Canis lupus familiaris: one gene and its partner. The protein of the gene in region 1 purifies or fractionates together with the protein of each later gene. This does not show direct contact. Links are inferred from orthologs where the notes say so. Each region holds a gene or a part of one and is shown in the gene's direction. Other genes may lie near its edges.

Region 1 (3,961 bases):
ATCCACCAGAGGGTGCAATGTGTGCAAAGGCCCTGGGGCTGCACTTTGCCTGCTGCGTTGGCTGCAGGAGGCCCCGGGGGAGGGGGGAGGGGAGGTCAGAGGCTGTCGTGGGGCAAGCCTGGGGCACACCTGGGAGGCCTCGTTGATTGCCTTGAAAAGCCGGGGTTTTCCTTTGCTGTTGCTGCATTTCAGCTGAGAGATGGGGGAGGGGGAGAGGAGGGAGAGGGCCACAGATGGGGGCTCACGTCGGCGCCTGCAGTTCTGAAGGTGGAGGGTTTGCAGTCGGACAGGATGGACAGGATGTGGAGAAGGGGCAGGACGGAGGAGCGGAGCTGCCGGCCCAGGGCGGACAGACTAGGGAGAAACGGGTGTAGACGGCAGATAAGAAAAAACGGGCTGGCGGAGGGGGTGCCTGGGGGGCTCCGTTGCTTAGGCTTTTTTTTTTAATTCTCGAGAGACAGAGACAGAGAGACAGAGAGAGAAAGAGAGAGAGAGAGAGGCAGAGACACAGGCAGAGGGAGAAGCAGGCTCCACGCAGGGAGCCCGACGTGGGACTCCAGGTCTCCAGGGTCACGCCCTGGGCTGCAGGCGGTGCTAAACCGCTGAGCCACCCGGGCTGCCTTTCTTTTTTTTTTTTTTTTTTTTAAGACTATTTACTCCTGAGAACCGCTGGGGGAGAGGCAGGCTCCTGCGGGACCCGATGCGGGACTCGAGCCCACGATGCGGGGATCACACCCCGAGCGGACGCTCAGCCACGGAGCCACCCGGGCGACCCGAGGCTGCTGCGCAGTAAGGCGGCGGCGACGCCCAGCAGCGGGATGCGTACCTGGTGGGGGGCCTGACAACATGCCCTGCGCCCCGGGGAGGCGAGCTGACCGCTGACCCCACCCTGGCCTCAGTTTCCCCGCCCACACCTCGCCTCCGCCCTTCCGGATTCCAAACTCCCCACCCACACGGGCATCGGGCGGAAACCACAACTCCCGACAGGCCCCGCGGCCGAAACCCCGCGACAACTGCCGAGGCGAGAGTGGGCGGTCCCGTTCGCTCGGCTCTGGCTCCGCCCACCGCCGCTCGCAGAAGGCCCGGGCTGCCCTCGGCGCTGCCGCCCGCGAAGGTCTCTGGAGTCCGGCGTTCGCTGTGGGCAGCCCCGCGCGGGGCTTGGCAGGGCTCGGCGCAGGCGCAGTCAGCGCGGGCCCCTGCCGCGGGCTCAGGCGCGCGGGTTGCGAGCGGCGGCCGCCATGGACGACGAGGAGGAGACGTACCGGCTGTGGAAGATCCGCAAGACCATCATGCAGGTGAGCCCGCGCGGTCAGGGCGGCGGCGGGCGCAGCTCGGAGCTTCCGGGCGCGCTCGGCGGGTGCGTCCCGGCCTCTGCGGCCCCTTCCTGTGCGGTCCCCACGCGCTCGGAGGCGCCGGGCCGCGGCCCTGTCCGTCCTTCTCCGCGGTGACGTCATCCGGCCGCGCCCCTCCCGCCCCGCCCTCTGAGCCCGGGGGTCACCCGGCTGGTGCTCCCTGCAGCTGTGCCACGACCGCGGCTACCTGGTGACGCAGGATGAGCTGGACCAGACGCTGGAAGAGTTCAAGGCCCAGTTTGGGGACAAGCCGAGCGAGGGGCGGCCCCGGCGCACGGACCTCACGGTGCTGGTGGCCCACAACGACGACCCCACCGACCAGATGTTTGTCTTCTTTCCAGGTGAGGGTCGCGTGGGTCCTGGGTGGCTGCGTGACCCCTAGGAGTCCGCAGCCCTCGTGCAGCCATCCAGGGACGGTGTCTACACCCGCCCTCCCGAGTGCCCAGCCTGCTGCGCACGGTGCCACGGGGTGCTGATGGGAGCCCTGGGTTCTGTTCCCCGCTGACTGTTCGTTCAGTGCAGCCGGATTGTCGCAGGCCTCCCGGGGGGCCCAGCCCCCTGCCCAGAAGCAAGGGCGTCGGAAACCTTTGCAGGAGGGACCCTCCTGGTGCTCGTGCAAACAGCGTCCCCGTGTGTGGGTCGGCCTGTGGCAGGGCCCTCCCTGGAGTGGGCCCGGGGCGCCCGTGTGCTCCAGTGGGCCACAGAATGGGACTGAGCGGCCGTGCTGGTCCACCTGGACCGCCGCGACTGGGCGCCGCAGACCGGGCGGCTTCAGCAGCAGCCTGACCTCTTCCGGGGCTGCAGGCAGGACGTCTGAGACCAGGGTGTGCACGGGGCTGGGTCCCCCTGAGGCCTCTCCCTGGCGTGCCGGTGGCCGTCTTCTCCATGAGTTCCCGAGGTCGTGCCTCTGTGTGTCTGTGCTGTTGTGTCTGACTGAGGTCCATCCTGACAACCTGGTGGAATCTCCTCTTTAAAGACCTCAGTTCCAAGTACGGTTGCACCCGAGGTCTCGGGGGTTAGGATTGTAACACGGGGATTCCGTGGGAAACAGCTCAGTCCCTGACGCTGCCCGTCAGGTGAGCAAGGGTCCGAGGGGAGTGCTGTGATGGGGCAGATGTGGTGCACCACACGCACCCGTCCTGGCAGCAGGCACCCAGTTGCTCACCTTCCACCAGGCTCAGAGGGTCCCGCAGGTCTTGGCCCCTGTACTGTGGTGAGCGTGAGGGTTCCCACCGTGGCTGTGCAGGGAGGGGGTTTGGTCCTTCAGGTCAGCTGCTTCATCTGGGGATTCCAGACATTGCACCACGTAGGTCCCCAGATTCAGCTTCCAGGGAGGGATCCACCAAGTGGGTAGATGCAGGGCACCCATCAGCTCCGTGGGGGCTGGGGGGGAGGACTGGCACCCTGGTGGGTTCCCTGGGGCCCTAGAAAGAGGGAGCTGGTCCAGAGAGGCACTGCTACACCTTGGCAAGGTCAAGCTGGAGCCCGCGCGCCTAGCAGGGTGGAAGTGAACGAGCAGGTGAGTGAGCAGGGCCCTTGGGGCAGGAGGGACTCTTGCAGTGTAGACCTCGTGTGTTCTGTCCCCAGAGGAGCCTAAAGTGGGAATCAAGACCATCAAGGTGTATTGCCAGCGGATGCAGGAGGAGAACATCACCCGGGCCCTCATTGTGGTACAGCAGGGCATGACTCCCTCCGCCAAGCAGGTGGGCACGCTGCTCGTGTTGGCCGCACGTCCTCATGGGCCCCAGGATCTGGGGATCTGAGAAGGAGCGGCTCTCCCGTGTGGGCAGAAGCCAGAGCAGGGAGGTGCCCTGCATGGGTGCCAGCATTCCTGTGGTTAACAGGTCCGAGGAGGGGCTGCTGTTTGGGACGGAGGGCCAGCTCTGTGCGCTCGTCCCTGCAGGGTTCTCTACGTCACACCAGCACAGGGACAACTGCAGGAGCATTTTGTTAGGTGTCACAGTTTGTGTCGGGTGGTCTCTTCCTCCCAGAGGAGCCTTACTGACCTGACACGTGGGAACCCCCTTTGGCTCCCACCTGCCCTCAGCCCCTGGGAGAGGTGGGGTGGCGGCGTCTTGGGCCTTGGCTGTGCGTGAGGGTCAGCCTCTCTTTCAGTCCCTGGTTGACATGGCCCCCAAGTACATCCTGGAGCAGTTTCTGCAGCAGGAGCTACTCATCAACATCACGGAGCACGAGGTGAGGGCCTTAGTGGGGGTCTGCGGGAGGGGAGGCTGGACGGCTGGTGAGGTGGCACCTGCCCGAGCACAGGGAGGGCCTGGGGACGCACCAGGTGCCGCTGCTCCCACTTTGTGGGGAGGAGGAAGCAGAGCCGGAGTCTCAGTGAGGCCCTGGGCACTTGCCAGGTGTGCAGTCAGGCAGCTGGGGGGCAGGGGGTGGGGTCTGTCCAGGGGCCCCTGCACTCTCCAGGTTATACCCCCCCAGGCGCCTGCAGGCCATAGCTCCTTCCCCCCAGGCGTGGAGTCAGGAGCAGGGTGGGGTGGCAGCTGGGACCCTTGGGTGGATGGTTGACTCCAAGGAAACAGCCTGTGGCGCTCTGCTCCCCTTTCCCGTGTGGGGGCGCCGTGGGGCCTGTCACACCCACAGACTCA
Region 2 (4,220 bases), on another chromosome or scaffold:
ATTGGAGAAAACTTGAGATCTCTGTATTATTTCTTAAAACTGCATGTGTATCTGGGGCACCTGGGTGGCTCAGTTTGTTAAGCATCTAACTCTTGATTTCTGCTCAGGTCATGATCTCAGAGTCATGAGATCAAGCTCTGGGTAGGGTCAATGCTCAGTGCAGAGTCTGCTTGGGATTCTCTTTGTCTTGCTCTAAACATCAATCAATCAAAACAAAAAACAAAAACAAAAGCAAAAAAAAAACTCTGCATGTGTATCTACTACCTCAAAAACTTTACTTCAAAAAGAAAGTACAACTTCTTTTGGCCAGTTATCACGAGTCTGAAAAGTTGTCCTAGGGATAGATTCCAAAAGAAGAAAAAAAGGTTAAATGCACCAGATGTTCACTGTAGCGTTATTTACAACAGCGGGGGTGGGGGTGGGGGTGGGGGTGGTGAATCTAAGTGTCCAAACAGGAAAATAGGCAAATCATGACACAGCCACCAAGAATTATTACTCATTTGATGCGGCAACAAAGAAATGTTATTTCAAAAGGGCTTCAAAATTGTGGTACAATAGGACAGCTCTACAAGGGGATTGCAATATATTACAAAAGTTTCAATGGTAGTATTCTACGTGGAATTGTAGCAGAATTGTTTTTCCTTCCCTCAAACTCTCTGCAATGTTACGTGGGATTAATTAATTAATTAATTAATTTATTTATTTATTTTGCATGGTTTGGGGGTGGAGAGAACAGTAAAAAGGCTTTTTTTTTTTAAATGTTAATGTCGGAGTCACCATAAAAGTTCTTTAAATTCGTCCCTCCCAGTCGGAGCAAACTTCATTTTTCAATTCGGGGCTTGGAACGAGAGTGCACACAAGGGTCGGCAGTCCAGAGCCGGGTGCGTGCTGCAGTTAGCACGCTGGGTGCACTTAGGCACCCAGGTAGCCCGCGCAGCTGCCCTGGCGCAGCGCCCGCAGCCCCACCTCGGGACCCTACCAGGAGTCCGGGCAAAGGACCCCCGAGCGAGGGCGAGGCCGCAGCCCAGAGGACAGTGACCACTCCAAGGTCACCATCGAGCCCACAGCCGCGGCTCGGCCGGGCCCGGGGCGCCCCAGCCCCGCGCCCGGGTCTCGCTCCCGGCCCCGCGCCCCGCGCCCCGTCCCGAGCCGCGACCCCACTGCTCCCAGAAGCTCCGCCACGGCGAATCCCCAGGTTGGGTCGTGGCGGCCGCCGAGGCCCCACCCCGGGCTCCGAGCTGAGCGCCGCTGCCCCCTCCGCCCGGGCCAAGCCCCCAAAGCGCGGCACCACAGCGTAACCCAGACCAGACCCCTCTTCCTTTTTCGCCCTCTCAACCCAGCTTTTCCCGACTCCGGGAAGAACCGGGAAGAGAAGGCGGAGGGGAGCGAGGCGCCGCCGGATAAATACTGTGGCCCGGCCCCGCCCCCTGACCTCACTTCCGGCCCGCGGCAAGATGGCGGCGCCCGGGCCCTGCCACGCAGACTTCCGCCCGGCGCAGAGACCCGGGGCGGTGTGCGGGCCGCGTCGGAGGTGAAGTCGGGACGCGCGTGGTGCGGAGCCGCCGCCCGGGTACGCTGGGGTGCGCCTCTGCCTCGTGCCTGGCCGGGAGCCTGGGCGGAGGGCGAGCCAGGCGCTCCACCTGGGTGGTCCGGGGAGCCTTGCCACGTGGAGAGGGAGGGACGCCGGGACTAGGGGAGGCCACGTGGGTGGGGTTCCGCCCCGGGTCCGTGTGTCCGCCCCCTCGAGTGACTCTGTTTTGCCCCTTTCCTCCTTTTCTCCCAGGCAAAATGTCGCAAGGAAACGCTGCGGGCGAGCCGAGCGCCCCGGGAGGCCCCCGCCCCCTCCTCTCTGGGGGCCGGGGGCTTGTTGGGCGGCGGCCGGCGCCTCCCCTCACTCCGGGTCGCCTTCCCTCCATCCGCTCCAGGGACCTCACCCTCGGGGGAGTCAAGAAGGTACCCGACGGCGCCTTGCTGAAGAAACCCTGCTACCTCGAGTCCCAGGACCCTGGGGTTCACCTGACGCTCGCGTAGGGCCCGCCGCGTGCCAGGCTCTGTGTTGGGCCCAGGGAAACCCCGTCCCCAGACTTCTGCTGACAGATTCTAGGGAGTCTAGACACCGGGCGCAGGACCTTGACGTGGTTCTCAGAAACGGCTGAAGGGCAGAGAATCCTAATTACTTCCCAGGCAACTTGGGCAATGTTTATTTACTTTTTAAAAATGTGTTTGGGATACCTTTAAGAAACCCCTGAGAGCCAGCAGGCATAAAGTTTGCCCTCAATTTTAGAGAGTTCTGTATCCGCCATGGATTATGGTGGGCAAACTGTGATCTAGTGTAATGAATTCTAGGCAGGGCCTTGGAGGCTCAGTGTTCTTTTGCGTCGTGTTTATCACTGTAGATGTTAAGATCGTCCCGAAATTGGGGAGGGGAGGCAGCTGGTGGTGGTGATGTAGCAGAAGCATAAAGCAGCTAGTTTTCAAAGACTTGTTTGCCTTGGGAAATGCTGGTGGCAGTCTAGCTGTGTCTGTTTGTGGGTGCAGGCGGACTTTGTACTTGAGGCTTGCTGCTAGAGCTCTTTCCTGTGATATTCAATGATTTGACAAGAAGTGAGATTAGATAAATAAATTGTAGAAGTGCTCAGGGTTCTCCTTTCAGAGGGCAGAAGCTGAGGCCACTAACTAAAATGGGGTTTTGGTGCCCTGTTCAGTGTGTAAGTCCACTGCTATCATGACAGGATCTTCATTCCTTTTAAGCACATGCCTATCTCTGTAAACCATTATAACAGTAGGGAATGTAGAATGGTGGTCTTGGTCCATACAAGATCCCTTTTGAGAGTTTTCATTTTTCTCTGTACTTTGGGAAACTTAACAAATCAGTGACTCATATTTTATTTTCAGAAAACCTTCACCCCAAATATCATCAGTCGGAAAATTAAGGAAGAGTAAGTAGCTCAGCCTTCTAAAAACTTTCCCCTTGGGGCACCTGGGTGGCTCAGTGGTTGAGCATCTGCCTTCAGCTCAGGGCGTGATCCTAGGATCCAGTCCTCAGGAGCCTGCTTCTCCCTCTGCCTATGTCTCTGTGTCTCTCATGAATAAATAAATAAAATCTTTTAAAATAATAAAACAGGGAAGCCCGGGTGGCTCAGCGGTTTAGCACCTGCCTTCCACCCAGGGCGTGATCCTGGAGACCCAGGATTGAGTCCCACATCGGGCTCCCTGCATGGAGTCTGCTTCTCCCTCTGCTTCTCTCTCTCTCTCTGTCTCTTATGAATAAATAAATAAAATCTTTTAAAAAAATAACACAGATTTCCCCTATTGCTCTGAATTTGGGTCTTTTGGGAAATAACTACGTATGTGGCTCAGAAATCTAAATTTGTGTATTTTTTTTTCACTAGTGATTTTTGACCTTGGCTTCCAGGTGATTGTAACGTGCAAGTTTTAAAAAACATACTGATGCCTGGAAGTCCATCTCTGGAAATGGTGATTTAACTTTTTTGCGATGAAAGAGAGTGATTATCCTTTACGGCTGGAGTTGAGAGACACTAGTTTAGACAAAAATGTGTTCAGTTCTCACTTACATTCTTTTGTATCACAGTCTTCTTGCTTTTAAGCAATACTGAGAAGTCCACATTTAGGGGCAGTCTCTGTAATTCCACTTTTGAGTCGTAGTCCTGTTATATACTCTCAAGCAAGAAGATAAGTAAAGTGAACTGAAAGGAAACTGCCCCATCAAGGAAGTAGAAAAGGTGCTAGACTTAGGATTGGGTTCTGCTTCTTCAGATACAGTCACTGGCTCTTGATTCTCTGCTCGGGTAGAGTAGAGTGTGTGTCAGAGTAAGACCAGTTCTCTGAGGCAGAGTGAGTGAGTGGTTTCCCTTCCTCCATTCTCTTTTCCAGGCCCAAGGAAGAAGTAGCCATCAAGAAAGAGAAGCGTGACAGGGATAGAGACCGGCAGCGAGACGGGCATGGACGGGGCCGAGGCCGCCCAGAAGTGATCCAGTCCCACTCCATCTTTGAGCAGGGCCCAGCTGAAATGATGAAGAAAAAGGGTACAAAGCTTCTGGGGTTCCGGGAAGAAGAAATCCATAGATTTCAGTCCAGACTGCCCAAGAGAAGGGCAAGGGCAGTAAAATTTCCCTGCTCCCTGTGTGCTTTTCCTTGCTGTTGGCCTCTTCCATGCCCCTGGTGAACTGAGTTATTTCCCACAGGGAACTGGGATAAGA

Evidence for each region.
Region 2: the proteins of POLR2E (region 1) and POLR3D purify together in Homo sapiens (affinity purification with mass spectrometry; 6 studies listed by BioGRID and IntAct, counting the BioPlex papers as one, with this or other methods). This does not show direct contact. The link is inferred for Canis lupus familiaris from reciprocal best matches to the Homo sapiens genes POLR2E and POLR3D.

Annotation. Positions count from the first base shown.
Region 1 is NC_049241.1:58,128,669-58,132,629, forward strand, and holds the start of POLR2E (DNA-directed RNA polymerases I, II, and III subunit RPABC1), read left to right. Parts: upstream 1-1,161; 5' UTR 1,162-1,238; coding exon 1,239-1,295; intron 1,296-1,518; coding exon 1,519-1,693; intron 1,694-2,939; coding exon 2,940-3,055; intron 3,056-3,467; coding exon 3,468-3,548; intron 3,549-3,961. UniProt on the Homo sapiens protein: DNA-dependent RNA polymerase catalyzes the transcription of DNA into RNA using the four ribonucleoside triphosphates as substrates.
Region 2 is NC_049246.1:35,180,821-35,185,040, reverse strand, and holds the start of POLR3D (DNA-directed RNA polymerase III subunit RPC4), read left to right. Parts: upstream 1-1,420; 5' UTR 1,421-1,570; intron 1,571-1,783; 5' UTR 1,784-1,788; coding exon 1,789-1,953; intron 1,954-2,895; coding exon 2,896-2,939; intron 2,940-3,894; coding exon 3,895-4,046; intron 4,047-4,205; coding exon 4,206-4,220. UniProt on the Homo sapiens protein: DNA-dependent RNA polymerase catalyzes the transcription of DNA into RNA using the four ribonucleoside triphosphates as substrates.